Rattus norvegicus: one gene and its partner. The protein of the gene in region 1 interacts with the protein of each later gene in a biochemical or structural test. Links are inferred from orthologs where the notes say so. Each region holds a gene or a part of one and is shown on either strand. Other genes may lie near its edges.

Evidence for each region.
Region 2: the proteins of Pard3 (region 1) and Jam3 form a complex in vitro, tested with the Homo sapiens proteins (2 studies listed by BioGRID and IntAct, with this or other methods). The link is inferred for Rattus norvegicus from reciprocal best matches to the Homo sapiens genes PARD3 and JAM3.

Annotation. Positions count from the first base shown.
Region 1 is NC_086037.1:71,971,956-71,987,683, forward strand, and holds the start of Pard3 (partitioning defective 3 homolog), read left to right. Parts: upstream 1-5,547; 5' UTR 5,548-5,806; coding exon 5,807-5,926; intron 5,927-15,728. UniProt on the Homo sapiens protein: Adapter protein involved in asymmetrical cell division and cell polarization processes. Seems to play a central role in the formation of epithelial tight junctions. Targets the phosphatase PTEN to cell junctions.
Region 2 is NC_086026.1:33,818,877-33,834,599, reverse strand, and holds the start of Jam3 (junctional adhesion molecule C precursor), read left to right. Parts: upstream 1-6,148; 5' UTR 6,149-6,165; coding exon 6,166-6,241; intron 6,242-15,723. UniProt on the Homo sapiens protein: Junctional adhesion protein that mediates heterotypic cell-cell interactions with its cognate receptor JAM2 to regulate different cellular processes. Plays a role in homing and mobilization of hematopoietic stem and progenitor cells within the bone marrow.

The DNA of each region.
Region 1 (15,728 bases):
ATGGTCCATTCAGCTAGATCAGGTGGCTAGTGAGTTCCTGAGATCTGTTTGTCTCTGCCCTCCAGGGCTACACTGTACTGTAGAGCTGTCGTTTATGGGTGCTTGCATGGTAGGTACTTTACTTATTGAGCCAGCTCCTTATTCCTTTTGAAACACAGTCTTACGTAGATCAGGCTGATCTCAAACCCAATATGTAACCAAAAACAATCTTTGCCCGCATGTTTAGTTTTGTAAGTGTTGGTATTTTGCCTGCATGTCTGTGTGAGGGTGCCAGATCTCCTGGGACTGGAGTTACAGATATTTGTGATCAGCTGTGTGGGTGTTGGGGATTGAACCTAGATCCTTTGGAAGAACAGCCAGTGCTCTTAATTGATGAGCCATTTTCCCAGCCCAATGATAATTTTGAACTTCTGGTTCCCTTGTCTTCAATTCTTGAGTCCTGGGGATTATGAGTATGTGTCATTATGACTGGTTTATATAGAACTGTGGATCAAAATTAATAGGCAGGGCTTTGTACATACTAGGCAAAGCACTCTGACCCCAGCCCCCAGCCCCATCTTTGCCTGTTATACTCTGTGTTATTGTGCAATTTGCAGCAGTTCAGGATGATATCTGTTTTCCATCCCTCCATATTTCATCACTTATATACCCCTCATCCAGTCATGAGGCATAAACTCACACCACCTTGTGAAAAGCAGTTTCTGTCTCAAAGTGTTCAATCCACTGATGACTCTCTTCTTTGACATCACACTGTGGTCTTGTCTGCTGGTTGACCTGAACTCCAGAACTATGCTGTCTAATGTGGCCTCTGTTGACCACAGGCAGCTACTGTGCTCTGGGGATGTGGCTGATCCAAATTGAGCTGTGCCCTGAACATCAGTCATGCACAGGATCAAAATGACCTGGCCAAGAAATATGAATACAAAGATGTATTAAATTGTGCAAGTGCCTGCAGCACTTGTGAGGATGAGTCAGGAGGATTGCAAGTTTGAAGCAGAACTGGGGGACACTTTAGTAAGCTTTAGTCCAGCCTGGACTCTAAGGCAAGACCCCTTCTTATTTCTGTACATTCAAATAGCACTATGTATTGTCTTTGGTTAAATAAACTACATTGTTACAATTAATTTCATTTGTGGCCATTAGTTACTTGTAATACATAAAATAGTAACTATTGTTACTTGTATACACAAAAATGTATTTCTCTGGGATAAAATTAGAAGGCCGTTTCCTTCTGTGTCAGAGAGAGTGAATAGTTTTTTTGGTATCTCTGTGGTTGCACTATGTAGCATGTGAGCATATTTCAGTCATGGTCCATTCATTTCTGAAATCTTTACCAGATTGGACTCCTCTTGAGGAAGAATCCTATAATGTGTGGTTTAAGGCTTGATATAAAAACGTATTGCTGTTACTGAATGAGTGTGACAGATCTGAATGTTCTGATTTGTGGGTAGGGCAGACATATGTTGGTGTAAACATTTCTCGGATGTGTAATCAAAGAGTAAGCAATACACATGTGTGAAATGCCTTGGAGATAATACTCTTCACAGGATGACTGCATTTCAAAAACCTTTCACATGTTGTCTTCATTCTTTTATTCATGTAGGCATATAACTTTCACATGTTGTCTTTATTCTTTGTGAGTAATCATGCATGTGTGTATGCACACATGTGAGTGTATGCATGTGAAGGCCAGATGACAGCCCTCAATATCATTCCTCAAGTGTTGTCCATATATGTGTGTATGTGTATATGTATATTATTATATATGTACTCTCCAAGTAGGTCAGTGAGCCCCAGGGCTCCACCTGTCTCCTCCTCTCCACATTGAGGTTAGGCATTGAGTTTACATGTATACCACCAAACCTGGCTTTTGTTTTGGTTTTTGCCCCCCACCCTCACCCAACCCAAGGTTTCTGGGAATTGAATGGAACTATCTTCCCAGCTCCTACCTCCTTCGTTTTGAGTTATTAACGTTCTAAGTGTGAGCTGCTTGGTACAATGATTTCCCTACACATATGAAGGGTGTGAGTGTAGCTGGATAGAATTGAAGTTATATTCTGTGGGGTCACATGTACCCATCTGAACATAGGCACAAAGCCCAGATAAACCCTAATTAAGTCTCAGAACTCTCTGGGGTATTCATAGCCAGTTGAATCAATTAGCTGTGAAACAGAAATACAAAGGCCTTGATTATTTTTTAACTAGAAAATGCAGAATATAAAAAAGCAAATGCATTATAAGATGTTTACACAATGACCTTTGACCCCTGACTTTGATAATTTTGTTTCTCAAAGAGACCAGGTTTGCTTTAGTGCTTACCTCAGACGAGAAGCTATTTGCTAAGCTGAATATTTTATTGACATGAAGGAGGTTTGGCTATGATCCATCTTTATGGTTAGATGTTATTTGAGGAATATAGTGGCAGAAATAAATTATTTGTCATAGAATTTTATGTTTTTTTTAAGACAGCAAAGTGTCTGGCATCTAAAAAATTACAAAGCATTAGTTTTTTATTAATTTTTAGCATATTCATTGTTCATGTATGTAAAAAGCAGGGACTAATGATACATCTGAGTTGGCAGAATGCTTGGTCAGAACGTATAAAGCCCCAGATAATAATACCACCAGCATTTTGTAAACCAAGGGTGGTGGCACATTCTTGTAATCCAGCACTTGGAGGGTAGGGGAAGGGATTCAGAATTTCAAGATCATCCTTAAGTACATAATGAGTTAAAGACCAGTCCTGGACATGAGAAACTACGAGAAACTATATCTAGAAGAAAAAAAAAAGGACTCAGTACAATTACTCAATATGGCTGGTTTAGGATCTGAATGGAAAGATGTCTCAAGACTCCAAGGCATGGGAATTCAGTCCCGCCTGCAGGCACTGAGCCCACCCACCTAACAAAAGCTTTGAGGATGTTACAGAACTACACCAGTGAGCTATGGAAAGGTTAGTATATGGTAAATATTCCAGCAATTACATTTTAAGATGTTACCATGTTTCAGGACCTCAAGTTGAAGGTGCTGTACTAGGGAGGGAGGCACACTTTCAAGAGAGGAGACATTTGATTGACATCTCTTTAGCTGTTTATCAAAGCTTAGGACATCTTCAACTGTGATGTATACGATTAATGATAACCATATCTCTATTCAACTAGCCAGATAAAGTATTCATCATCATCACCACCACCACCACCACCACCACCACCACCACCACCACCACCATCACCATCACCATTATTATTTACAGTACAGGGTCTCATGTAGTCCAGGCTGTTCTTGAACTTTGCTATATGTTTGTGAACTACCTGCTATGTATCTTTAAATTACTTGCTATATGTTGGGGTTACAGATGTGGACCACGAGAGCCAGTTTTTAATGGAGCGTTAGAGACCAAACACAGGGCTTTGGACATATTAGATAAGCATTCTATTAGGTATATCCCAGCCCTTGCCCAGTTATGCCTCTGACTTTGAGATTTCTTTGCTCACCTTCCTCAGTCATTTGTTAGCATCCTTTAAACCATGGCTGCTTATATTATGTGCTCTCACGTACTAGCATATATTAAGATTTTTAATATAAAATTTTGTTCGATCCTCACAATTTATGAGATGCGTCTCACCAATTTCTTTCCTCAGCTGGTAAAGACAAGGCTGGAGAGGGTGTGAACATCACAGTTGAAAGTACTAGTGTTAAAACTTAGAACTTAATTTAAATCAGTGCTATTTTTTTTTTGACAAAGCCCACTAGCAACTTTATACTCCTCCCATGTGGAAAAACAGAAACACCAACTCTAATTACCCATAATTATTTGTGGGCGAAAGTGTTTTTATTTATATTTTATTTAATTATTCTCTATTCTCTCTCTTTTCTCTCTCTCTCTCTCTCTCTCTCTGTGTGTGTGTCTCTCTGTGTGTGTGTGTCTGTGTGTGTGTGTGTGTGTAGGTCAGCGAACAACTGTGGGGCAGTTCTCTTTTCCCATCACGTGGGATCTGGTGGGATCTGGAGTTAGAATTCAGAATTCAGTTAGAATGCAGGCTGAGCCGTCTTGCTGGCCCATGGACCCAAGCATTGCTAAAGTCCAAAACAAGAAAACCTCAGCAGGACTCACTGACATAGTGTGACCAGCATAATCACTTGAAGACAAGTAGAATGATGTAGTCATGTAGAGGTAATAAGAGTCTTTCCCAAGGCTGCGTGCCTTCAAGCATTCTCTTGTGGGCTTTGGGAGAGTGAATTCTCGACGGACACCTGAGAGGATGATTCATGATGGTATCGTTTGCTGGGATCGGCGATCATCCGGTGGACTAAGAGTAGTCAGACGGGAAAAAATGTGATGTTTCCTCTGACCTAGAGCCGCAAGGCCAAGGAGACTGCAGGATTCTGAAAAGCCAAAGGACTTCTTTGTTTTGCTTATTTTAAAAAGGGAGGAGGGATGGATGGACAACAGCACCAGCTGTAAGTGCTCAAATCCTGGGGTTCACAGGCGCTTTAACAGGCTCAAAATATCATGCAAATTAACTGCCAAACTGAACTTACTGTATTGTGTGAGATAAACTCGGGTCATCAGCGAGTGGCTCTCTTGAAGTTTGCCATTCTTTGAAGACAACGTTAACATTTATTTAGGGACCACATCTTCTAAGAAAGACGGAAAGCAGCTCCAGTCACTTGTCTAGACTTGGTCCACGTTGTTATTAAACATCTTAGAATTTGTATATCACCCACTTTCTTTGGAGTTGGGGGTGTGTCAGTGAATTATGAGGCAGCCTTAGCAGCGAGGGAATATCCTATCTAGAACAGCCTTCCCTTTGAGCATTCGGGCGGTATTTTTTCAGAGGGTTTTAGGTTGCTTAGATTGAGGAATTTTCAAGAAACAGATGTATTTGAACTGCGGTGTTAAGTCCTGCTTATTTAAACAAGTGGGTCACCAAGAAACTTTTAGGTAAATAGTGGCCTCAAGAGGAAGTACCAGGGCGTCCACGCGTCTCCAACCTTTCTCGGGAGCAGCCAATTAATCTCTGCTACAGAACAGCGCCGCCCGGCCTTGCACCGGAGTCAGGCACTTAGGATAGAAACCCTGCCTTGCCGCGGGGCAGAGAGAGACCTGGCTTGGAGCTTCCTCCATAGTCCGCTTCCATTCTTCGCGAGCGCGGCTCAGTGGCTCTCGGGCTTTAAAAGCGTTTCCGAACTTAAACTGCTTTCTCCCAGGAAGGGGATTAAAAGTCACAAAGAAAGGAAGAGGACCTCGTTGGAGACCTCTGGGGGTGAGGGTGGGGCGTCCCGGAGTAGACCTCCTAGAGCAGCCTACGGCAAGTGGGTTGGAGGAGGACGCGCCCTGCCCCGCGCAGGCCCAAGCACAGCGCCGCGGGTTGCGACGCGCGTCGCCGTGCGGTGAACCGAGCAGCCGGGCAGCGGCGGAGGCCTCGGGGCGCCCCGCCCTGCGCCTCCTCCTGCCGCCTGCGCGCGGTGCTGTGCGCCCAGCCCTCTGCTGCTCCTCCTCCCTGCCTCGCCGTCCCCTCCTCGGAGTCCCGACTAAGCGCTAGCGCCACACGGCCCCGGGCCGCCGCCGAGCGCGCCAAGACGCCGAGACGCCGAACAGGTGGCCGGAGGCTGCAGGCGCCCGGGCGGGGACAGGCGAGGGCAAGTGAAGGCGGCCGGGCTGGACATGGTAGCCGGGCAGCTCTGTGCGGCCGCCTGCTCGCGCCCCTAGCCGCCGGCGCGCCGGCGCAGCGGCCCCACCGCGCCCTGCGTACAGTCTCCCGGCCCAGCGGCGCTCGGGCCACGGACGGCGAGGGACGGCGGCATGAAAGTGACCGTGTGCTTCGGGAGGACCCGGGTGGTCGTGCCGTGCGGAGATGGCCGCATGAAAGTTTTCAGCCTTATCCAGCAGGCGGTGACCCGCTACCGGAAGGCCGTGGCCAAGGTGAGTGGCCTGGGGCGCGCGGCGGGGAGCGGACGGGGGAAAGGCGCGGGGATCAATATGGCGCTTCCTGGAGACGGAGGAGGGAGACCGGGAGGCGGGGAAAGGGAAAGTGCGGCAGCTGGGCCGCCTCGCCGGCGCCCCCGGCCCGGACCCGCGGCCGTAAAGTTCTCGGCGCTCTCCAGCTGGGCCGCGATCGCCACCCGCGCGGTCTCTGGACACTGTCTGGGTCTTCCGGGCTTAGGAGTGGGCGGCCGGGTGCTCAGAGCCGGCACCGGGCGAAGCAGAGTGCGGCACGCGGGAGGCGCGGCGCTGCCTGGCGGGGCGCCTCTGCCCGACCGTCTGCGGGTCCTGGCAATCCAGCTCCAGGCCTCTCCCGGAGCAGGCCTGTCCCGGAGGGTTGCCTACGGAACTTTGGGGTGTGTGGAAAGAGTTGAGCGATCTGGTACACGCGGGAGCCGCAGGCGGGCCATGTACCCTCTGTGTTCTTGCGGGATCTCCGGGTCGCGCGGGCAGCCCTGGTTGGGTCGGCCAGGCTGATGGGCTAAGGTGGGGGCGATGGAGTGGCTCTGGTGCTCGGCTCCTTAAAACACCTCAGCCTAGACTCGCTTAGCCCATGAGCTAACTCCCTCTGGATCTTTACCCATACCTAGCTGGATGTGCTCCAGTGTGGGCCTGGGGTCGGAGTATCCTCGATTTCTCTGTTTTCCTCATAAAGAACATTGTCTCCATTAAACCGCATTCCTCCATAATAGGTCAGAAGTGGAAGGGCGTTTTGTAGGTTCTTTTACCCTCTGTGTTTGACAACAGCCCACGCTGAAGTTTCGTTCTAGCACCTGAGGATATTTCCTTTGTATGAGAGTGGAATGTGTTCCCTTTGGTATTTCCCTGTCTGTTGTCTGTTCAGTGGCCTGCCTTCTGTGACTTCGGAAGCAAGCAAGAGGAAAAGGTGGCTTTGTCTGCCTATGTCGCCGAATGCTCATGGGCCACCCTCCATTTTTCTCTGAAATTAAGAAAGGGCAAAATGGTTACACCATTGTTTTGTTTTGTTTTTAGTCTGTGTTGGAAAAATAACAAGATTTTTTTTTTTTCTTTTAAGGAAACTTTGGGTGATGGTTGGGAATCTGGTACAGGGATAGGAGATGCCGAGTTCAACAGCTGTAAGTGTTCTTCCAGTTGGTCGAACTCATTGAAAAATCAAACAACGTTAGTGGAAATTGGGCACCTGTTTATCTTGTAAAGCTGACAAGAGGGGAAATCCTCTGTAACTTCACACTTAAGTGTTTTAAGCATCATTTCTGACTGACAGTTGGTGATTTAACATTGTAAGGGAAAACCAGGCTGTCTTTGTATTCTGCCGACGAACACCATTAGTTGTGAAAGAAAAGAAAAATGGCAGTAACATATGTAGAATATAGAGGTGCGCCTACTTCCAGCTCAGACAGCATGACAATGTTGGCCTCTGCTTCGCTGATTTTGTTTGTAAAACTAGCCGTGTTTTATCTTGCACACCCTGGGCAATGGTCAAGTTGCCTGTTGGGAAATACACACAGGCCACTGACTGACTGCATTACTGATTTTCCATAGGAATTAAACACTCACTATTTCAAGTCATATTGAGTATTTATTGTGTTGTGGGTGCTGGGCATCAAAGGGATCCATGGGCTTCGTTGTAGATGATAGATTGTGAGAGTCTGAGACAAGGTTCTTGTGATTCCTCAGGTGAGGACAGCTGTGGTGTTTGCCGTGGGGAGATGTTGTCCCGGGGAGGTTGAAGGATGGAGTTGAGGGCTCTTGCTGATAGATGTGGGCTGGTCTTCACTATCAGCAGTGACTGTTCCACAGCGAAGGGAGAGGGGTGGTGAAAGGGTCGCAGAAAGAGTAGACGGGCTGTGTGACTAACAGTTGTGAGAAGACCGGGTGGGAGGAATGAGAGATTGTGACATTGGAGTTACAGATAAGGCAGTCAAGGGTGATTGACTGGTTCCAAAAACTCAGTTTAGGAGGTGGGGTGTGTGTGTGTGTGTGTTGTGTGTGTGTGTGTGTGGTGTGTGTGTATGTGTGTGTGTTATGTGTGTGTGTGTGTGTGTGTGTGTGTGTGTGTGTGTATCTTTCTGTATGTGTTCAGAGGCCAAAAGTCATTGCTGGGTATCTTTTCTCTCTGCACTTTAAAAAGAAAGATTTGATAAAATCTTACAAATCTGGAATTCAAGGCCAGTCAGGGCTACATATACCTCTCTTTGCAAAAGATAGATTTTTGCAGCATTCGCAGTTGAACTGTTGGATCACAAGACTTTTGACTCATAAGTGTTCACAGGGCTGGGCTCATGACACATAGCTTAATCTCCCAACTTGGAGGCAGAGGCAGGTGAATCTCTGCTGAGTTCAAGATCAACCTCATCTGCAGAGTGAGCTCCAGGCCACGCAAAGCTGCATAGTGAGAACCTGTCTCAAAATAAAATAAAATAAAATGAAATAGCCATAAACAAGCCAAAACCCCCAAACTAGAGAAATGAAAGCTGACTCAGCAGCTAAGAGCACTGGTTGCTCTTCCAGAAGACCTGGGTTGGATTCCCAACCCCTACATCATAGCTCACAACCACCTGTAACTCCAGTCTCAAGGGATCTGATGCCCTTCTGGTCTCAGTAAGCGCTGCATGCATGTAGTACACATACGTGTAGTACACATACTGCATGCATGTAGTACACATACGTTCATACAAAACTTCCGCACACAAAAAACAAACAGTTTAGCTTACAAGTGTTTAAAGGCTTAAAGGAGCTACTTCATCCATTTGCTGTTTTTCCTCTTGGATGGTTAGGTAATGGCCGAGATTAATCTTTCACACTTCTCCCATCCCATATAAGACAACTAGGGAGCAAACATATCAACATTGCTAGTGTTGCAACTTCTGTTCTCCTATTTCTTCTGCTTAATAAAACACGGTAGATCCTGCATAAAGAACTGGGTAGCCAGGTAATGGTAAAATCTTGCTTTAGGTTGCTAGGTGACACAAGACATGATGAGCTCCCACCTTTTGGGAAAAATGTGGACAAGCAAACCATGTTCAATGTATGAAAAACCCATGAAGTAGAAGAAAAAAGAAGGGAAAGAACTTGGATTTAAAAAACAGAATAAAACAAAATAAACAAACAGAAAACACCCAGACAAGCTTTCTGTGCACTAAGCACTTTGTCATATGGTGGGGCTAATTTTCTTGTATTCTGTTTATGTTATTTGAGCTGTTTTCTCTGTAGGTTGAAGAAATCAATTTCTGGCCAGCTTAATGCCATGTCTTAGCACTAGAAATATCCTTAAGAAGCCAGTGTTTCACGGCTTACCCCTAGTCATATATAATCTATATTTTTTTTCACTAGTGTGAAAACATTTTTGTAGTCAAAAGGTGAAATGGCTGTCTGTCCTTTTTTACCCACTACCATCAAGACCCTGGGTTTAGTAGATGCTGTGCTAGCTGTGGAGGACCAGGTTACATGGAATCTTCTACTGAGTGTGTCCAACTGGAGGACTATTTGTGTCTCTATGTGTGTGTTCTGAGCCTTATCATTTCTGGTGCAATCAGAACCTTAGTTTTAAGCATGGGGTTTATTGAAGAGAAGCTGTGTACTAAATGTCAAGCTATGGAATTTCACAGCAGGAGCCACCATTATGCAGTGGTGGGTACCATGAAGTCATTAGGTTTTGCACTGAGCTTGGTGGGAGGGATGGCTAGCTGTATTTAGGGCCCTGCTTTCTAACTGAGTAGCTGAGTGACTCCAGAAAGCTCCTGCTTTGCTGTGTGAGAGTTCTGGATCCTCAGTTCTGTGGTGAAGTGAGGAGAGCGTGTGGACCTGGAGAGTGTATTGCCATCCTAAAAGTATGAGGAAAGGCATCATGAGAACAGAAACATTGGGGTTTTGGAGGGCCTATGTTTGGATCAAGCTGTGGAGGACAGGAAATGCCAGGGAGAGACTCTGGGATGTCATATGGTCTGGTAACAGAAGAGACAGGACGAGTTGCTGATCGGATGAGTTTGGCTTAGTAGGGATGAAAAGCTCCTGTAGACAGGAGAAGGGATTGAAGACAAGATGAGAGAGGGTGGGCTGCAAGCCCTTGGTTCACCACCCTTCTCCTTATAGACTGTCTCGGAAGAAAAGTTTTGGGAACCCAGCTGTATTAGCTGTTTAAGGTCAGGCAAACTAACCCTATAGAGCCTCAGCTTCCTCATCTTCCTTTCAGGATTAAAAAGAGTGTTGAGCATTGGTGAATATGAATTCTTCTGAACTAGATCCGGACTGTAGAAGCTGCTCAGTAAAGGACTGTATCACTGGTGCACATCATCCAGGGAACACCCTCGGCTTTTCTCCATCCCATAGTTCCTGCTTGGCTTTTCTTCTTTTGCTTAGAGTGTAATTTAATTGAAGAATAGGTGGACTTAAAACCTGCTTATGCAATGGTACAGTCAGAAGGAGAGATTGATTCATTGAATGTAGTGGGCAGAGAATGCCAAAGCTGCTCTAAGTGTTTCAGATGGGCTGGCTGGGCCTCTACTCCTCAAACCGGTCTCTTAAGAGTAACTTAGTAGCAATTTATTGTTTAAAATACAGTTTAAAGAGGAGGGGAGGCGGTGGGACATACCCATAATTCTGTTACCTAAGCCCTGGGAGGGAGGGGCAAGACAGGTCACAAGTTCCAGGCCAGCTTGGTCTGCATAGTGAATTCCAGGTTAGTCAGTGAGTGTCTCAAAGAAACAAAAATAAATAAGTTGTTTTAAACATATGCACAGGAACTTGTAAAAAAAAAACTACTTTCTTTAGGATATTACTAATTACTAAATTTACGAATCAGGCCTTTTATGAACCACCTAGTGGTTGGTATGAAGTGTGTGTGTGTGTGTGTGTGGGGGGTGGTGGGCAGTGAATGCATGGCAACATCTTGCTACACAGTTGCAAACTTTCTTGACACTTGATGGAAGTTACATTGTGGTAGTGATTGAGAAAAGATACCGGGAAGAATTAAAACAAAACTAGTGAAGTACAAGACATTTTTATTTGCAACATTTTCTGTCTTTCAAAGAGGAAAAAGAAACATAGTTAAAGTGCCCTCCTCTCTCAGAGGCGAGGGGCAGTGTCTCTGTAGTGATCTCTTGCTCTTCTGAGTCCTCTACTTCAGAGTCCATACCCCTCTGACTTTCCTGTACTCTCCAGCCTCCTCCCCTCTTTCTTGCTTCCTTTACCTAGAATGATCTCTCTGTCTCTGTCTCTGTCTCTCTCTGTCTCTGTCTCTCTCTCTCTCTGTCTCTGTCTCTCTCTCTCTCTCTCGCTCTCTCTGTCTCTCTCTCGCTCTCTCTGTCTCTCTCTCTGTCTCTCTCTGTCTCTCTCTGTCTCTCTCTCTGTCTCTCTCTCTGTCTCTCTCTCTCTCTCTCTCTCTCTCTCTCTCTCTCTCTCTCTCTCTCTCTCTCTCTCTCTCCAGGCTTCCATTGACACTCCGCTTAGGCCAGCCCTGTCTGGTACTGTACCTGGGTGTTTCAGGCTCTCTTTACTTTGTGCTTCTCCTGAGGACTTCCTGTAACTCTTGTACTTTATAGAACTCAAAGATAGGCAGAATGGGGCTGCGATTCTCTTCCAGGTGAGATGGCTGATGCTAGTGCCTTGCTTGCCACAGTCTCACTTGTTCAGCAGACGTATATTATACAGACATCACAAAGAGTGGGTGATGCTGAGAATAAAAACATCAGCACACAAGTGCCCACAGGAAGGACCCTTCTGAGAAGATACTGATTCCCACTTGCTAGTTAGAAGGGACTTACTACTTGAGTGTAGCACAAATAGTGTATAATCAGAATTAAGGCTAAGAGAGCTCAGAGTGTCTGGAAGATTCTCTTTCATGTCAGCTATTTTCAAGGAGTTCAGTTTGTCTGGGAGACCAAGCAGAGCTTAGTCCTAGGGTTTGCACTGGGTCAGATTCAAGGCATGTGGCCAAAGCAGTGTGGGAATCTGGCCCTGACTATACTTAGGCTCGGTCTAGTGCCTCCATTTCTTGCAGTGTGAATCCTTGGGGCTGGGCCAGAAGAGAGTGCAAGTGTTTAGAAATTGAGATTCACAGAATGAATCTGGCTGAGGAGAAGCACTGGTTGGCTTATGGTGATTCCAATTCCTCATGGATGAATTACTTGTTGGAGGTAATGTTTAAAGTCCCATATGGACCATTAACCTGAAGACAGATCCTCCACCTGTCCTGGGAGGTTCTTACCTTCCTGTGGCGTTGGTGATGGCAAACACTCAACAGATGACACACACGTTATACTCTCTGTCTTTTCAGGGTTGGAAATGAGAGGAAATGGGGGGAAATTAGGGCAGTAGGTTCTTTCCATAGGTGATTTTCCACTGGGTGGAGTTGGCATTTTAGGCCCTCCCTCCTGAATAGCCATTAATTCTACATTCCTATCTAGACCTAAGTCAATAGCAGTAGAACTTGTGGTCCGTACGCTAAATAGTTTTGGTGTCTTTTCTGTTTAACACAGAAAATAGAAAATAGTTCTTATTGTTATTTTGTTTTGATTTTTTTTTTTTGAGTCTCTTTTTAACCATGCTGCTCAGGGTGCCTCAAACTTGTGATGATCCTCCTGGCTTTGGGTACAGATGTGTACTACCATGCCTTGCTAGAAAATCTTTCCCTCCCTCCCTCCCTCCCTCCCTCCCTCCCTTCCTTCCTTCCTTTCTTTTTCCTTGCCTTTTTCCTTCCTCCCTTCTTTTCTTTTACTTCTTCTTTTTTAGATAGGCTCTCTCTATGAAGCTTTGTATGAAACCACCTAGAACACAGAGATACTCCCACCCTTGCCTTCTAGTCACTGTCTTCTAAGTGGTGGGATTAAAGGCCTGTGCTACTGGGCCTGGCCTTAGAGAATCAAATTCTAATGAAAGTAAATTTAGTGTTTAGTGACTAAAGCAGAAAAATGTTTGGTTCTCTTCCCCCACCCTCCTTATTTATTTATTTTTTTTCCGGAGCTGGGGACCGAACCCAGGGCCCTGTGCTTGCTAGGCAAGCGCTCTACCACTGAGCTAAATCCCCAACCCCCCACCCTCCTTATTGTTTTTCTTTTCAAACTTTGGAAAGATTCTGTGGAAATGGGTTTCTTTCTTGGCGCTCTGCTTCCTTATGTCTGGCTTTCTATCTTTGGTGATCTATACCATTAGGTGATACTCAGGATGCTGCTAGTTTATTTGCTTACCCAGCCTACACAAGAATAGCCCTGGCTTCAGTCCCTATTACTTCATAGAACCAGTTTTGGGGAGGCATACCTGAAATCCCTTCACTCTTGAGCTGGGGGCAGGCAGGTTAGAAGTTCAGGGTCATCCTCTGAAATAGTTTAGCATAGCAAGCTTGGGGCCTCTCAGCCAAATGGGACTGTCTCAAAACAAAGCAAACAAAAGCCAACACCCTTGCCTTTTCTTCGTTCTCAGTCCATATTGGCACACATGGTTAGAACTTTAAGCTTCAGGCCCGCATGTCCTAACATAGTGTTAAGTTCTTCTCTTAAATTATACGGTATGTGAATAAGAGAAGCGAAACGTTTACATACAAACTTAGGCGTAAATATTCATAGAAGCATTATTCATAATGACACCAAATAGTTCCTGTGTTGACCAGCTGACAGATGCATTGGCTTGGGGCAAAGAGGCTACAGAGTGACTGAGAATTGTTTCATTTACTTAAAGATTTTAAATTATTTTTGTTATTGTTATTATCATTATTATTGATTTTTCAAGATAAGGGTTTCTCTGTGTAGCCCTGGCTGTCCTGGAACTCACTGTGTAGATCAGGCTGGCCTGAAATCAGATCTCCTCCTGCTTCTGCCTCCTGAGTGCTGGGATTAAAAGCGTGTGCCATCACCATTTTTGTTACTTTTTTTTAAGGTTAATATATTTTACGTTTTGCCTGTATGTATGTAAATACACCATGTGTGCGCCTGGTGTTGGATCCCTTGGAATGGAGTTACAGAAGATTGTGAACTGCAATGCAAGTTCTGAGAAATGAACCCAGGTCCTCTTCTAGAGCAGCTAGTGCTCTTAAACAGAGTCATCTCCGCACCCCAAATGTTTTAAATATATGTATGTATAAGTCTATGTGTGCCATGGGTGTGCTGGTACTTATGGGGGGCCCAGAAAAGGGCTTTGGGTTGCTTGAAGCTGGAGTTAGAGGTGGTTGTGAAATGTCATATATGGATTCTGGGAATCAAACTTGGGTCCTCTAGAATAGCAGCAAATACTCTTAACCACTGAGCCATCTTTCTACTCCTCTTATTCCTTTTGTAAATGACTGATTAAATAGTCTAAATGTAGGTAGTTATAATGGTTGCACAACTACGGATATATTAATAATCATTCCTTGTTTACTTGTGTGTGCAGGAGTGCAGAAGTTGGTGTAGACGTTAGTATAGAGTGCCTTCAGTTGTGCTCCATCGGGCTCCCTTGACAAACCCGAAGCTGACTAAGTTGGCTGCACCAGGCGGCTCTCGAAATTCAGAGGTCAGGTTTACAGCTGTGTCGGGAAGCCTTGCTTTCACGTGGCGTTGGGGACGGACTTGTGGTCCTTAACGCTTGTGTGGCAAGCACTTAACTGCGCTATCTTTTTAACCCCAATCATGTGGGTTTTTTTTTTTTTTTTTTTTTTTTTTTTTTTCCCCCGGAGCTGGGGACTGAACCCAGGGCCTTGCGCTTCCTAGGCAAGCGCTCTACCACTGAGCTAAATCCCCAACCCCCAATCATGTGTTTTAAATGGGTGAACTTTATGGTTTACGATTATATCTCAGTAAAGATGTTAAAAATAGATATCATAAGCCAGTATGAATAAGATCCCATTTTTAGGTATTTATAGTTCTGAGAGCCCCATAGAACATGTCTTTGTGTATCAGAGATAACCAAATACCCCAATTGAAAATGACTTTTAGAGATTTTTTTTGAGTACTGCGATGTTAATCCTACCTCTTTGAGTCTCTGTAGTCTATCCTGCTGTCGGTCCAGGAAGCTCTGAATCCCATGATGCACTTTGTTGCCATACCCCCCTCTGAAGGCTTCCCATTGGTCCATGAGTTCCATCAGCTCTTTCTTCCCTGCCAGCCTTTGCTGAATGGTGTTTAACTGAGAGGTCCCAGAGGTGCCTATTGGAAGAGTTGTATGTGAGTTTGCTTTGGGCTCTCCGTAGCTCCCCCTTCTCTGCTCACCTCACTCCTGTGTGAAGGCGGGGCAGCTCCAGTTTCAACCCCTGAGCTCCAGCAACATTTCTAGTCTGCAGGGCTGTTCATCACGCTCCTGCTCCTGGGTTACCAGGCAGGTGCGATATGCATGGGCTTTGCCAGGGAGCAGACAGGACACTGGATCTCATTCCACTCAGCAGTGATGTAAGAGTCCATTGCCTCCCTCGGGACACAACGCTGTTGGGAGTCAGGGTGGATGTGGTTTAGGGTGTCCTCAGAACTCATTGCTTCATGATGTGTGTCTTCAAAGGTGAGACGCCTGTGCAGAGGTGACTTCCTCAGACTTAGTGAGTTTTAATTTAACATTTTCTCCTGCCTGATGCTGGAGGATGCTGTATGTATCCATGTGTATACACATGCAGACGCAACATTTTCATGATATGCAACTATAAGTGTGTCACAACAATGTCACAACAGTACTGATTCCCAGTCTTTGTTCTACAGCCTGATGTGGCAAAGAGCTAAGTTTTGGGCTTGTATATATATATATATATATATATATATATACACACACACACACAAATATATATTTTTTTCTGCTTAAATTTTGT
Region 2 (15,723 bases), on another chromosome or scaffold:
GGCCTTGATCAGAACCGGATGTACCTATTAAACAGCCTTATGATGACTGGGGTCAATTCCCACCGTGGGGCGTAACACGGCTGTGTCATCCCCATGTAGGTAGGTGACCCAGGAAATAGAATTAAATCCCCACTGCTCCCAATTCTGGAGCATGGTATCTAGAATCTGTGCAGGGGCAGCTACAGGGGAATCTCCCTACCCATCTCTGGAAAGGCCTGAGCAGTATAGGCTAAGACTCTCTGCTCATTGCAGAGGCCTGAAACACCAAATTGGACCTAGCAGGGTCTCTACTGAGGTCACACGATCCCCACAGCAGACGGGGAGTGAGGGCACAGGCTTCTGGTTTCTCCCTGGTGCCTGAAGGAAGCAAACACTCTGTGGTGCAATTTGTGTGAAATGAAAATTACCCCTAATTGGAGGGCTGGGATAAAAATATCTCCAATCTGTAAACAAAGCAATTGCAGTCTGCTGGAGGCACACAGCTATAGCATAAAGGGCCACAGGTTAGGCGCACTGCAACAGGAGGTGGTCTAGCCTGCTCTTCAGAGACGAGACTTGCTCCTGATATTGTTCCCAGGTAGTTCAGGGTGTCCTTGAGGTTCCTCAGCAGTGCCAGTGGTACTGTGTTTTAACGGGTATTGGGGAGTAAAGCGCCCCAGATACTTCAACCCCTGAACTAGCATAACTCCCTCCCCCTGGGACATATGAGTATATGAAGGCACACACAGAAGCACCTACACTTGGGATTCTAAGAGATGAGTTTGTTTAATTCATTAATTTTATTTATTTTGGTTTTGCGAGTCAGGGTTTCTCTGTGCAGGTCCTGGCTGTCCTGGAACTCGCTTTGCAAACCAGGCTGGCCTGGAACTCACAGAGATCCTTGGCCTCTGCCTCCTGAGTGCTGAGATAAAAGTGTGACCTTTTTCCAACTGAATCACAGAGAGGAATATGGAAATCAAGTGAACGACAGCACATTTTATTGGAGGAGGAAGAGGAGGAGGAGGAAGGGGAGGAGGAAGAAGAAGAAGAGGAGGAGGAGGAGGAGGAGGAGGAAGAAGAAGAGGAGGAAGAGGAGGATGTACCTGCAACTATTTCATCAGGTCAGTGGGAGAAGGGTGAGTCTTACTTAAGTAAAACTAAACTACTTCAGAGACAAAGACAAGAGGATAATAGTTTCTGTAAAATGTTGTGAGTGTAGTCAGAAATATTGCAAAGAAAAGAGTTGAAAGAAAGGAAAAACAGATTAACAAGCGTATGACCAAGCTCCCAAAAAAGCTATGCAGAGAAATTTTTTTTGGGGGGGGGGGTGTCAAGTCTCCCAAAAAGAGAAGGATTCCCTCCTTTCTCTCATGATGGAGAAGCTGGATTCAGGTGATTACTTCAGGGTTTAATGACATAAAGAAAGAAACAAAATTATGATTGTGTAATTTTTTAAATAATAATAATAATATCAGCTGGTGATGCGGAATTCACATGGCAAGTTTCAGCACTTGCTAGGCAGAGGCAGGCAGATCTTTGTGAATTTGGGGTCAGCCTGGTCTGCATAGTAAGTTTGGGGTCTTGAGTGTTTTCCTACAATTACTGCAGAAAGAATATAAGAAAAAGCAAACATCCACTAAAGCTCTCCTTTGTTTATCATTCCCTCTGACGTCTCTGAAGGCTGGGAGTGTTTTATTTATCAAAGTCCGGGTAGAATATTGAAGCCATTTTGACCCATTTGTATCATGCTTATCAGAAGCATGAGAGTGAGAAAGAGAAGAAATTTGGGCAGTAAACCTGCATTGAGCTCCATCTGTGATTCAGCTGTTTAATCTCCGGCCATCAGTTCACTGGGATGAGTCCCTGTTTTCTAGGTAAGGAATCCAAATCTTAGATAAGCATAAATACACAGACACATTTGCTGTGCTCACTGGCAAATCAAGTAGGGAACCTTGCCTCTTGCCTCTTGGTTTGCTTTTTTTTTTTAGGCTTTATTTATTTTACATATGTGAGTACATTGTCACTGTTCCCAGACACATCAGAAGAGGGCATCAGATACCATTACAGATGGTTGTAAGCCACCATGTGGTTGCCGGGGATTGAACTCAGGACCTTTGGAAGAACAGTCAGTGCTCCTAACCACTGAGCCATCTCTCCAGCTCCCCTGATTTGCTTTTTATGTTCATATTAATCAATATTGTAAAACTCTTGAGTTCAGCGTATGCTGATTTAATTTCTTTAGCTCTTTTAAGAAGTGCATCTCTCAGCTTGGCAGTGGTGGCTCAGTCCTTTAATCTCACTGAAAGGTCCTTCCCAAGTGGGAGAATCTTACTTACTCCAGTACCGGGATGACGCGAACCCAAGAACTCATGGCAGCCGATCTTGATGCAATCAGGCAAGTGTTTATTTGGGAAGCCAGAGCTCTGGGGACGACATGTATCTCACGCAGGAGACAGAGGAGTCAACCCCGAACTCAATTTCGGGGCTCATTTTATAGAGAAAATTACTCAGGCGGGGAGCAGTAGGCAGGTAACAATTTCATTGATTCATTTAAATTGGCACACTCTATAAAGCAAACCATTTTCCTGCTCTTGTCTTTCTCAGAATTATGGAACCAGCCGTAATCCGGGCCAGATGGTCTTGTGGTTAGCCTATTTCTTGGAACAGGAAGCCATGTTCCCAGGCTGGGTACGAGTAGGTCTCTGAGTGCTTGTAGTGGAGTTAACTAAAAAATGTTTATTCTTACATCACCAGTCAGGAGGCAGAGGCAGGCAAATCTCTTGAGTTTGGAGCCAGCCTGGTCTACAGAGTGAGTTTCAGGACATCCAGGGCTGCACAGCGAAACCATGTCTCAAAAAAAAAAACCCAAAAAGAAAGTATCTCTTTCTAACATGTTTCACGCTAGAACGAATGCATTCAGATAACGTGTGCTGTGGTTAAAGGCACAGACTCCGGCTCTACTTACCAAATGTTTCCAGAACCTTCTGCTCATTGAACTTACTCAGGCTGAGCAGAGTTCAGTTTCTCCAGGAAGAACAGACACATCACAGACAAATGTGTTACCCTGCCTTGCAGCAGCATCTCCACCTGCATTTCCATTCCAAGAACATGCTTTGGCCATTGCTAATGACATGGGACCTCTGTTGTGGAGGGAAGTCAGTACTTTACAGTGAAGCACCTGCCACCCTCTCTCCCAGGAACCTCTGCCCTTTATAGAATATTCATGAAGTCTTTTCTTGTAATCTCCTGCCCGTATTTCAAAAGGAGCTCCAAAACAGAAGGGCATTGAACAGAGAGAACCATTTTCATAATGCAAACACAGGAATTTAGCAGGAGAAAGGAAGCATTGGCTTCTAAATAACGGTGCTCTGTCTACAGTCAGACGCCATCTCAGGGTCCCCAAGGAATCAGAATGGTTCTCTTCAGTTAGGTAAATATGACTGAGCACATGAACATAGGAAAAGAGAGCAGAAGAAACAAAACAACAAACAAACAAACAAACAAACAAACAAAAACAAACAGATTAACACCCCTCCCCCAACAATTAGGTTTAAAGAAACTCCCAGGAAACTGCACTTTGTTTTGTGCTTAGTGCAGAAAGAGAGGCCAGCATGAGAAATACCATTTACACACATTTGCCTATGACGTACATGCATGATGACCAGAAACAGAAGGAATGAAAAGACAAGTAGCATTACAATAGGTTATTTTAAATTTTTATCCTGATGTTTGGGATTAGTTTTTTTTTTCCTTCTTCTGGGTTTGTGGTGGAATAATCGATTCACATTTATAAAGGTTTGAACATTTATAAAATGTAGACTGAGGGTCAGTCATGTGGAAATGAAAATTGAAACACACTTGGCAGGGACTTTTCCCTTTCAAATCTCTTGAAATGTTATTTTGTTACCCATTGAATAGTAGTATCAGTTGTTGGGAACTCTGGCACACTTTCTCAGAGGCTCAGTTTTAATTGTGTTGTTTCTGGAATTTTAGGGATGCCTTTTCTAATATTAAACATGGTGCAAACCTTTCTCAAGAGTTTTCCAGGGCTGGAGAGATGGCTCAGCGGTTAACAGCACTAGCTGCTCTTCCAGAGGTCCTGAGTTCAAATCCCAGCAACCACATGGTGGCTCACAACCATCTGCAGTGAGATCTGATGCCCTCTTCTGGTGTGTCTGAAGGCAGTGACAGTGTACTCATATACACAAAATAAATAAATCTTAAAAAAAAAAGAGTTTTCCATTGTATTAAATGTCAGTCCAGATTGTCTAATGTCCTTAGGTCTAATGTCCAGTTCTTGGTTGTTGTTTTGAGACAGAGTTTATTTATGTAGGCCTGGCTGGGCTAGATCTCATTTTATAGACCAGGCTGGCCTCAAACTCACAGAGATCCACCAGCCTCCACCTCCTGAGTGCTGGGATTAAGGGCATGTGCCACCACAGCCCACCTCCGGTTCATTTTTATCCTCCTTGTCATCTGCTTATAAAATCTTACTGCATTTTCCTTCCCTCCCCTCCCCACTTCCTACTATTCAGAATTCAGAGCAAGGCTAGTAAAATGGCTCAGTGGGTGCCAACCCTTGCTCCTAAAGCCTGGAAACCTGAACTTGATCCCTGGAACCCACGTAGAGGTGGAAGAAAGTCAACCTCACAAAATTGTTCTCTGACCTCCACATGCACATTGTGGCATATATCTCCTGCCACTCACTCCTACTCTTACATACAAATGATGATGATGATGGTGATGGTGATGATGATGATAAAATAATGAACCATTTTTAAAATGGAAAAAAAAAAGCTGGAGAGAGAGATGGCTCAGCAGTTAAGAACACTTGCTGCTCTTCCAGAGGACCCAATTTCAGTTCTCACCACCCACACCAGGCATACTATTTGTTAACTCTGTTCCTCTGGCCTCTCTGGGCACCTACAATTATTTTCACACACTCACATGCAGATATACACACATACATATAATTAAAATTATAAAAAAAAATCCAGACATGGTGGCGCTTACTTCTAATACTAGCACTTCGAGGCAGAGGCAGTTGGACTTATGAGAATTTGAAACTAGCCTGGTCTATTTAGCCTTCAAGTTCCAGGGTGGCCAGGGCTACATAAATAATACTCTGTCAAAAACAAAACAAAACAAAACAAAAAACAACAAAAAAATGGGAGACTGGGGAGATGGCTCAGCGGTTAAGAGCACTGACTGCTTTTCCAGAGGTCCTGAGTTCAATTCCCAGCAACCACATGGTGGCTCACAACCATCTGTAATGAGATCTGATGTCCTCTTCTGGTGTGTCTGAGGACAGCTACAGTGTACTTATATAATACATTTTCAGAAAAAAATTAAAAAAACGGGTAAAAAACCCTCAAGTGACAAGAATTACACTTGTACTGTGTAGGACACACTATTGGGGACACCATTAGGCTTCAGGTCTACCAGAGAAATGAATCATACTTATATAGCATGTTATTATATTTATTTAGTGGGTATATCTTGCTAATGTTTATTCAGATTTCAGCATTTTCTCCTTTCATTACATATGGTATCAGGGGCCCTACAGGTGTGAAAATACTACTGTTTTAAAAAAAAACTATATGGCCATATCTTTATTTGTAAAATAATTTCTCTAATAAAAAATGGTTTATTTTATTTCATGTGCATGAGTGTTTTGCCTGCATGTATGTATGCACACCACAGACACGTTTAGTGCCGTCAGAGGTCAGAAGAGGGTGTCAGATTGCTTGGAACTGGAGTTAAAGATGGTGTGAACCACAATATGGGTGCTGGGAATGGAATCCGGGCCGTTGAAGAGCAACAGGTGCTCTTCTCTGCTGAGCCATCTCTCCAGCCCCATCATGCCTAAATTTTAATGGAGTAATCCTTCTTAGATCTGTAGCGATAATCTACAGTTTCATAAATCTACCCCGCTTCCTTCCCAGACACGCTTTTTAATTCTCCTCCGGCTAAGTTCATTGACAGAGGTAGCACCTGGAAGCGCTGAGCATCGTTGCATCCATAGCAACCAGACTGGAGCTTTCTCGGTCACTATGGTGCCGGCTAGGCCGGGCCGCGTGGTCGCTATGGAAACTGGAGGCGGGTCGCAGGGTCTAAGCAGTGTGAGCGCATGCGCACGAGGCCAGTTCTACGCTCCAAGCCTGAGCCCCTCACATTCCCCTCGACATGGCGCTGAGCCGGCGGCTGCGACTTCGCCTGTGCGCGCGGCTACCCGACTTCTTCCTGCTGCTGCTCTTCAGGGGTGAGTTGACGCTTCAGTGCGGCTGGGAAGTGTGGTCTGTGACGATGGGGACAGAGCGACCCGGGCCGCGGTGGAATAGCGGTTTCTGCGCCCAGGACTCCAGGTCCGGCCGAGGAGCTGAGGGGTGGCCTCTGCCGGAGCGTGGCGGGCGCGGCTCAGCGGGCTGTCGGGTCCGGTCTCAGGCTGACCCGCGTGGATGCGACTGGTCCCGGACAGGGACACGGCCCTCTAGAAGGACCGTGGCAGCTGCCTCACGGGCTCTAAAACTTGCTGGAGAAAACACCCCATCAGTATTGTGGTACCCAGAAGTCGTGGACGACGAGCAGCTAGGGAAGCTCCAGAGGCCTGTCCTCCCGGGAGCTGCTGGGGTCAACAAAGAAGCTGAACTGGGCAAGGCCCGCCATCCTTGTGCGGAGATGGGGGCTGCATAGGGATAAGCACCTTTGTTGCAGCGTGGTGGAGACCCTGACTCCCAAGTAGCACCAGGGTCATTTTGATCCCAACACCCTGCTAAACTTGAAAGTTCTGCTCATTTCTTTCTAGTGGAATTCCTGGGAGACACTATTTCCCTGGTCTGTGGGGCAAAAGCACTGTAAAGTTTACTTTGCAGTTAACTTTCCATAAATACCACAGGGCACTTTGAAGCTATTATCTCAGTTCTTAAAACAGCTCAGTGAAGTGGGTTCACAAACTTGGTTTGTGAACCCAATTTTCAGAGGCTAATAGTCTTCTTAAAAATTTTTTTTTTTAATTTCAAAACTGAGGGGCCACACAAGTAGTGCCAAACTTAAGGTTGCATAAGACTCCACTCCTTACTCAGAAGGTAACCCAACCCGGACCACTCCTCAACCCTTGGCTTGTTCCTTGGATTTGTTGCCGCCCACGATGCTCTCCAAGATATACAAATTAATACACCAAAGCCCTGTTGGGAGGCGGGGTGGTCAGGCAAGAAAACAAAGCGGTTTTGTGTTTGATGCTTATTCTAGTGGGGTGCGCAGAGTGGTGGTGGAAAACAGGGGTTCTGGTGCTGAAATATTGGAAACAGGCTTCTGTAGTAAGGATGACCCTTAGCCCGTATTTGTGACCATATATTTTGCTTGATTTAGAAAATTTAAAACCAAATGCAGTTGGGAGATAGAGCTGAGCAGAGGCTAGCCAGGAGAGAGGAGTGTCAGGAATGTCCTGCTCCCACAGTGTCCGTCACACTGACATGTCCTGACACGTCCTATTCACAGACCAGAACAACTCCCTATTGTTGAAGAGATTTGCTAACATGAAAATCTGCAGCTTTTATTGGAGAAACAGTTTGCAGTTGACTTCAGGGATACATTCCTGCTTGGTGATTTGTTAGTAAAAAGCAGAAACTGCTAAGGGCTCATTGCGGATGTTACCCCTCAGGTGGGGCTAATTTGGTGGGTTTCTTGGTATTGAGGGAAAGGAAAGAGTTTCCTATTATATAGCTTTTAGCTTACGTATACCTGAACGCTGTAGGTACTCTTGGGACTGGAGAGAGAGCTCAGTGGTTACAGAGGGGTAGGCCGGCAGAGGACCCAAGTTCTGTTCATAGCACCCAAGTTGGTGACTCAAACAGCAAGGGGGTCCAGCCTCAGAGGATCTGACAAGCTTTTCTGAGCTCTGTAGGCACTCACATTCATACATGTATATGGTCCCTTCACACATAAGTAAAAGTAAAACCTTTAAAAACATGTCATCTTCATAGGGGACAGCTGTGCCTTTTTAATTTTTAGGATTATGCTTTTCACTTGGTATCATTACCGTTTCCGTTTAAAATTGCCAGCTCCTGCCTGCTGTGACGAGTGCTTGCAATCCCAATGCCGTGAAGGCCGAGGCAGGAGGATCACTGTGAGCTTTTTTATTCTGGGATATACAGTGAGTTCTAGGTTACCCTGGGGGCAGAGCGAGACCACAAAAAATTTACAAGTTCCAAGTTGGATGTGGTGGCACATGCCTGTAATCCCAGGATTTGAGGGGCAGAGAGAGGCAGGAGGACCACTGCCAGTTCTTCAAGGCCAGCCTAGACAGAGACCATATTTCAAAAATTAAAAAGAAAAAAAAAGGTAATTTCAAACATAGTAAACATTCCATGTAATTGCTTTTTGCTGGGCTGTATTAGGACAACTTAGTGTGAATTATTTCATTTTGATAAGACTGTGTTACTGGTTCTCTTGTTCTGTGTATGAAGAAACAAGCATGCAGAGGTAAACTTAGAAGTCTCTAGTCTGTGCCAGTTCGGTCTTTGGCCGCTTGTTTATTGTATTCGACAGTGGCAATTCTTATTATGGATCAGTTTAGGGAAATTATCACGCGTTCAAAGACGGACTGTTTGTATATGTATAATATTCCTTTGTGAGATCGGTGACTGGCATGATTCAGCCTTACAGATGATATGCCTCCTCCCCCTTTTGAGTGCTTATGTAGCAAGTCAGTAACTTTCCAGAATTTTTGGTGTGCCAGAGAGAAGACTTTATTTAGAACTGGAACAACAGTTTGTACTCTTGAAGACAGTTTGCGAGATGAAACGTACAGGAATTCCGGACCAACTATTCCAATTCTTCCGTTTACTTGGACTCCTGAACCATGGTTTAGAGTGGCCTACATGGATCGATTGATTGCTTGATTGAACTCAGGGCCCTGAACAGATAGCCTCTACCCTTTTACGGCATTTTAATTCCTTTTGATTACTTGATTGTCACAGTCATTGGCAGGGTCGTACCTGTACTTTTAAGAGAAAGAAAGGACAGCTGATCCCAAAACTTGGATCTGCTTCTCATCTTCAAATGACTTGTCTGTGGTCACAATGCAGGCTGAGGAGACCGAATGGGTGTCTGCTAGAGATCTTAGTCATTAAGTAATTGCAGTATTCACAGTGCTCCATCTCCTATGCTCTGTGGAAGGCGCTCTCAGGGCAGCCCCCAAGGAATAGCCCTATGTCCACTTTCTGAAAAGCGGCAGATGCACAAGCATGCTTTCTGATTGTACATTGTGATAGAAGACGCCACAGCCATAGTGCACCCAAGCACTAGCAGCTGTTAGAGATGCGGTATTAACAAATTCCTTCTTTGTAAATCCTTTGAATTCTTTCAGAGCACAAGTGTGGTAAAAGAAAAGAAAATATGTGTGTGAGTGAGTGAAGTTAGAGTGTGCAGCTGGCTGAGGACAGCCTAGCGATGGGAGGCGGATTCTAGTTTTTCTCCCAAGGTGTTTCTAGTCAGGTCTGTGCGTGTGATGGCATTTGGGCTGAGTGCACATTTTAAATCTTTGCACATGCCTCTGAGTTCTAGCACTGTATACATATATATTCACTGGCATATGAAGAGAACTGGAAACTAAGTTGGGTAAGCACATTCTTTTACACTCAGATTAGCAAGGACACCATCCACTGAATGGGAGCCTAGAGCATTAACTCGCTGCCTCTTTGCCGCTTGTGGTGATGCACAGACATCTGCCTGTTCCTGATGTCCCAGGAAGCAGAGTTCTTTCCGCTTGTGGTGTTTTGGTTTTCTTGCTTCTCTGTGGTATTGATTGTGTGCCCTGCATTGTCTTTCACCCCTGCACCATCACTGTGTGCAGCAGGATTTGCAGTGCTGCTTTGCTCCTCAATCTGTAAGGAAGATTCTTTGTTTAGGTCTTTTTGCCTTTTCTTTCAAAAGTTTCTTTTTCAAATAAATGTTTTATTTTGTGTTGCCTTAGTTACTTTTCGGTTGCCATGACCAAACACCAGGACCAAGGCAACCTATAAAAGAAGGCACTCAATTTGGGGCTCACCATTCTGGAGGGTGAGAGTCCATGACCATCATGGTGGGCAGCGTGGCAGCAGGCAGGTGTGCATGGCACTGGAGCAGTAGCTGAGAGCTTGTATCTTAATCCGTAAGGAGGAGGGAAGGAAAGAAGAGAAGAAGGAAGGAGCTACTTGGGAATGACGTGGGCTTTTGAAACCTCAAAAACCACACCTCCTCCACCCAGGCCACACTTCCCCATCCTTCCCAAGCAGCTTGACCAACTGGGAACCAAGCATTCAAATGTTTGAGCCATAGGGGCCATTGCTACTCAAACCATCACATACATGTATGTACTAGAGTTTTGCCTACATCTTTGTCTGTGCACCATGTGTGCCCAAGGAGGCCAGAAGAAGGCCTCAGATTTTCTGAGACGGAAGTTACAGATGCTTATGAGCTGCCAGGTGAGAACTGGGAGTCAAATTCAGGGCTTTTGGAAGAAAAACCAATGCTCTTAACTACCGAACCAACTCTCCAGTCTCTTAACCACCGAACCAACTCTTCAGTCTCTTAACCACTGAACCAGCTCTCCAGTCCCCATAACTTTATTTGTATGAACGTGTACCTGTTTATCTCTATATGTACCGTATGTATGCACATGCCCAGAAGAGGTCAGGTCCTCAGAACTGAAATTAGCAGGTGGCTTGGAGTAAACACTTGTGTAGGTGCTGGGACCAGAACTGGGTACTCTGCAATTGATTTACTCTGTTTCTACAGTTACTGTTACAATCAGATTCTAACAGTCATATCGTCTGTCATGTCTGGACTTCGACTCACAGTAACCTTCCCTGTCTGAACAATCATATTTCATAGTCTGTAGTTCATTTCTTTCCAGCCAGCACTTAAGTCAGGCACTATTCACCACAGTGGGGCACACAGTGAGTGAGGAGCCCAGCCCTTGTGTGTATGACCATTCACACTGGGTTTTGGCCAGTGGTGTGAGTACAATTAGCAGTGATGTTAAAAAAGAAACTGACCCAGGACAGAGATGGCTCTGGCAAGCCTTGCCTGCCTGTCTTTGTCACTTGAAAGCCAGTTAACATTTTTAACCACTCTCTGTGTCTAGGCATTTTTAGTGTATCTTATTTTAGTTCGGTGGCTTCAGGAGCGTCAGGGTAGTCTCAGTTTTTACTGTAGTAGTTGTTGTGGAAGGAAATGGTCTTTTTCTGTCATCTACTCTGTGTAGCTGCAAAGTTACGAAGAAAAACGTGGAGAGATGTTTATGAGGCACTTTAAAGGACAAGGGCTGCCACTACCACAATTTGTGATTCCAGTTATGTAAAACACCAGGGGAAAATGTGGGGAACATTGATGGGTTGTGTCTAAGCAGCAGAGCGCAGGGCTGCTTGTTCTTGGCTCTTGTGTTTTTCCTTCCTGATTCATTTGCTTTATTTTTGAAGTCTTTAATGAGTTTTTTTTAAAACAATACATAATTTTTCGAAAGTCGCGCTTTGTTTTGATTTCTCTCTCATGGCTATAGTACTGGGATTTAGACTTGCCATTAGTAAAGGAAAACGTGATTTGTTTAACTACAAGCAGCCTCCGTCTTTACCTAGTTTCTTCACAGCAGCTGCATTGGATGAAGGAGGACTGTCCTTAGAGTTCAGTTGTTTGCTCATGTATTCTTTTTGAGGCATTTCAGAGATTAATTGCCGTTGGCGTTCGGTGGGAGAACAGCTGTGGCTTCAACAAATGGTTAAGGGGGACGGGAAGGCTCTTGGAGTACCTCCCCTGCCCCCCATCATTAGGACCAAACAAAAGAACCGGAGTGATTGCCTGGCTTGCTGCTGCTGCACTTTGAGCACTGCCCTGTGCCAGCCTCTGAGCGCTCGGGGGTGGGTAGGGGAGGGGGGGAGTGGATGGGGCAGGGGGTGGGGGGAGGGGATGATTCTCTAAGGTGATGAGGTAAGGAGGGCGGGTTGCTTTCATGGGAAGCAGAAAGTTATCCGTCCATGTGGCCGTCATTTGTTCCTGCCCAGTGTCTTGTCCTGTCTTCAGCATGAGGTGCAGCTTCGCAGCTGTCTGGAAGCTTATGGAGGATCGAGCAGACCCTCAGGCAGCTGCTCCTCTTGCTTTGGCCATGGTTTTCATTAAAGCACTTCTACTGTGTTTGTTTGTTTTATTCTTTCCTTTGCTGACAAAATAACAGTCTGGGCTTGTGTAGCTCAGGCTTGCCTGGAACTAACTCTCTGTCTCTGTCTCTCTGTCTGTCTCTGTCTCTCTGTGGTGTGTGTGTATACGCACGTGTGTGCGTGTGCGTGTACACCTCCCATAATGCCAGAGGTTGATGTCAAGTAACTTCTATAATGGTTTTCTATCTCATTTTCTGAGACATAGTCTCTCACTGAACCGGGAACTGGTCAGAGTCCACTTGGCAGAGTGGTTGGCAAGCCCCAGGGCTTCCTGTCACTACCTGTCCAGCTCTGGGATTGCAGTTTGTGTTGTGTCGCCTGGCCTTTACATGGGTTCTGAGGAGTCCTCTCAGGTCCTCATGCTTGCATGACCTCACTGAGCAATCCTTCCTTCCGCCTCAGCTGCTGGTACACAGGGGTTGCAGTATGTAGCGCGACACTTGACTCCTACTGACCCCATCCATAACTGCAGGTTTAGGTGAGTAGAGGTGTGAGAAGAGAAGAAAGTGGGGGAAACAGTGTAGGCAGACATGTGTGTAGGAGTGTGTACAGTGTTTGCTGAAACTCTGGGTTATGATAACAGCTGTTGAACGCTGTGTGCTCGGCATTCTATGGATTGTATAGGACAATATAGAGAGTGCAGACCACGATAGCATAGTATCCTGAGCTGAGTGCCTCAAGCCATAGACATTTGTGTCTCACTGTTTGAAGTCTCAGATGTCTGGGATCAAGGTTGCTAGCAGATCTAGTTCCTAGTGAGGCCTTCTTCCTGGTTGGTGGATGACTACAGTTGTGCACAGGCTGGAGAAGGAGAGAGAGCTTGCTGTCTCTTATAGCAGCCACTATCCCATGCTGAGGTCCTACCCTCATGACCTAAGCCCAGTTACTTTTTAAAGCCTGCACCTAATACCATCTTGTTAGGGATTGAGGCTTCAGCATGAGCTTTAGGAGGACACGACCTCGAGCTAGCTGGCTTACTTGGTCTCAGCTCAGTTTTATTTGCAGGCAGTGAATTTGTAGATGTGGAATCTGAGGCCTGGTCACAATAAACCCAAGAGCCGTACCCTCAGTGGGACATCTATCGTGCTCTCTCCAAAGCTCAGGGGCCAGTGCAAAGAAAAGGCAGAAATATAGCGGGAAAGAGCTGAAGAAGGTGTGGGACATAGCATTGCACCCCTGAGCTCTCAACGGCTGGACCACATTGGACCCATCACCATTGGAAGTGTGGAAGTTTGTCAATTGGAAGTAGAAATATGAATGAACAAAAGAAGTCAAGACTGCAGTGGAAACATCACCTAGAAAGTATTAAAATAGTCTTAGTCATGTTCTGTAGAATGGGTATCCTGGTCTAGACTGGGTTTTGTTTATATTCTAGACCCTCCTTTTTAACTATGGACAGTCTGTTCCAAGATACCCAGTAGATTCCTAAACCTGGATAGAACAGAACCCTGTGTATTGTGTCGTGTGATGTTTCCTGTACACAACATGCAAACGTCATGCCTTTTCCCTCTTAATCTTAATTAAGACTTACCATGTCATGTACTGTGACTGAGATTTACACAGTTTTTGGACAATGAAATACAATTAGTCTTTTTCCTTCACACTTTCATAGTTAGAAGATGGCTTCTTTCTCTCTGCTTATCAGGTCAAGAATTTTCAGCTTTTCACTGAAGAGTAGCAGTGTGTGGCTTCTCTGTGCCATATCTGAATTGCCAGTGTTGGGGCCGCTGAGTAAAGTGAGGGTTCCATGGATCTAGTCTGTAGTGATGGCTGGCCCACTATCCAGGTGCCTCCTTCAGTGAACAGTGAGCCGTCATGTATATGGTGTAGACATGATGGGTACAGGGTAGGACATCCTAGGTAGGACAAGTAGTACTGCATAAGTGTTTATCTCAGCAGAGTGGTGTACAGTTTCTAACTTAGGAACTGCAGCTTTTGGGATTTTTATTTTCTATTCCCGGATACAGCTGACCTCAGGTAACTAAACCTGCGGATGGGGGAGGGGCCTGTGTCTGCAAAACTGTATCTAAGTTAATGTTGTTCTTCAAGTGCATATCTCCTGGACACATTGTTTTAGGTTGTCAGTCCTGTTGTCTTAGAACTTAGAGAGAGAGGGCGAGAGAGAAACTGTGTGCTCAGTGCCCTCTGGTTGAGAAGTTCAGAGTTGTACCCATTGCCGCCTCAATATTGCTAATCTTTTCCTTAGCTACATTAAAGGTCGTCTTTCTCCTTTCCCCTTCTTTTCTAGGAGGGCATTTTAAAATGTTACTGCAGTGTGTCACCAAGGTGAATTTTAGTGTGCTACTTACATCTCATAGTTTATATAGCTGTGGGTTTTTCTTTCTGTGTGTTCCTTTTTTTTTTCTTTTTTTCGGAGCTGGGGACCGAACCCAGGGCCTTGCGCTCGCTAGGCTTTCTGTGTGTTCCTAAGTATTTGTTCAAATAGTCATCTTTTATATTCTTATCCTTTCAATTTGGGGCTCTGACTAAATGCATTCAGTCACTGTGTCCTTCAAGACTGTTATTTTTTCCTCTCATACTGCTATGTTCTTGCCCGTGTAAGCTATTCTGAATTCTGCAACCAGCTATTTCTGCTTCCAGCCTTATCTGTTATTGAACCAATGCCCAGAGGACTTTCCCCTACTGATTATTATGTTCATTTCTGAGGTTTTACTTGGTTCTTTTTGGAACTTTTTGCTTAAGTTTTCAGACTTTGAAAAACTGGAGGCCATGTGTCTATTATAAGCCCTGGTGTTCAGGAACTCACCCAGGAGGGACTTGAGTGTGAGCCCATTTGGACTACAGGTTATAGCTGGTCCTTTGGCTACTTTGTGGGTTCTTTTTTCTTCTACCTTTCTGTACCCTTGTTCTACCTTTTCAACCCCCTAACACTAGATATGAGAAAAATGGATAGAGAGGAAATGGGGTACATTATTAGAGTACTTCCTGCTGATTAAGGGCTTCAAGTTCCTTGGGGCAAGCTTGATCTTCCTTGTTGTCAGAATATTTAATTTTCTTTCTCTTTTTTCTTTGCACACAACTATTGAACAAACTGGGACCAACAACAACCAAGTAAAAATCCACCACCATCTCAGGGCCCTAGCATTCTATATCCTCTGAAAAGTCCCTGGAATTCCAAATGTGGCAAAACCTCAAACTATCTGCTGCTGGCAAAATATCATGCTGCTAGAGCACGAGGCAAATCATAGTCAGCTGTAGTGGATAGTTTGGAGCAGCACCATATTCTACGCCTGGGATTAAAATGAAAACGAATTTTTAAATAATGTTTTTGTGTTTTAATGAAACCAAAATTCCAAAATCATCACTTCAATCAGTTGAACTCCTGCTCGCTCAATATACAATGAACGGATTTTAGCATTTATGCATAGCTATCTTAGTTTCCATATTCGACATTCCAAATAAAATAGTCTTAGGCATCTAAATCAAGTGTTTCTTGTTTACACGTATGGTTTTGCTTCTTTGATTATAAAGAACACGATTCATCAGTGACAACTAGCCTAACTCAAGGATGCTTGTTTTGAGAGCAGGCTTC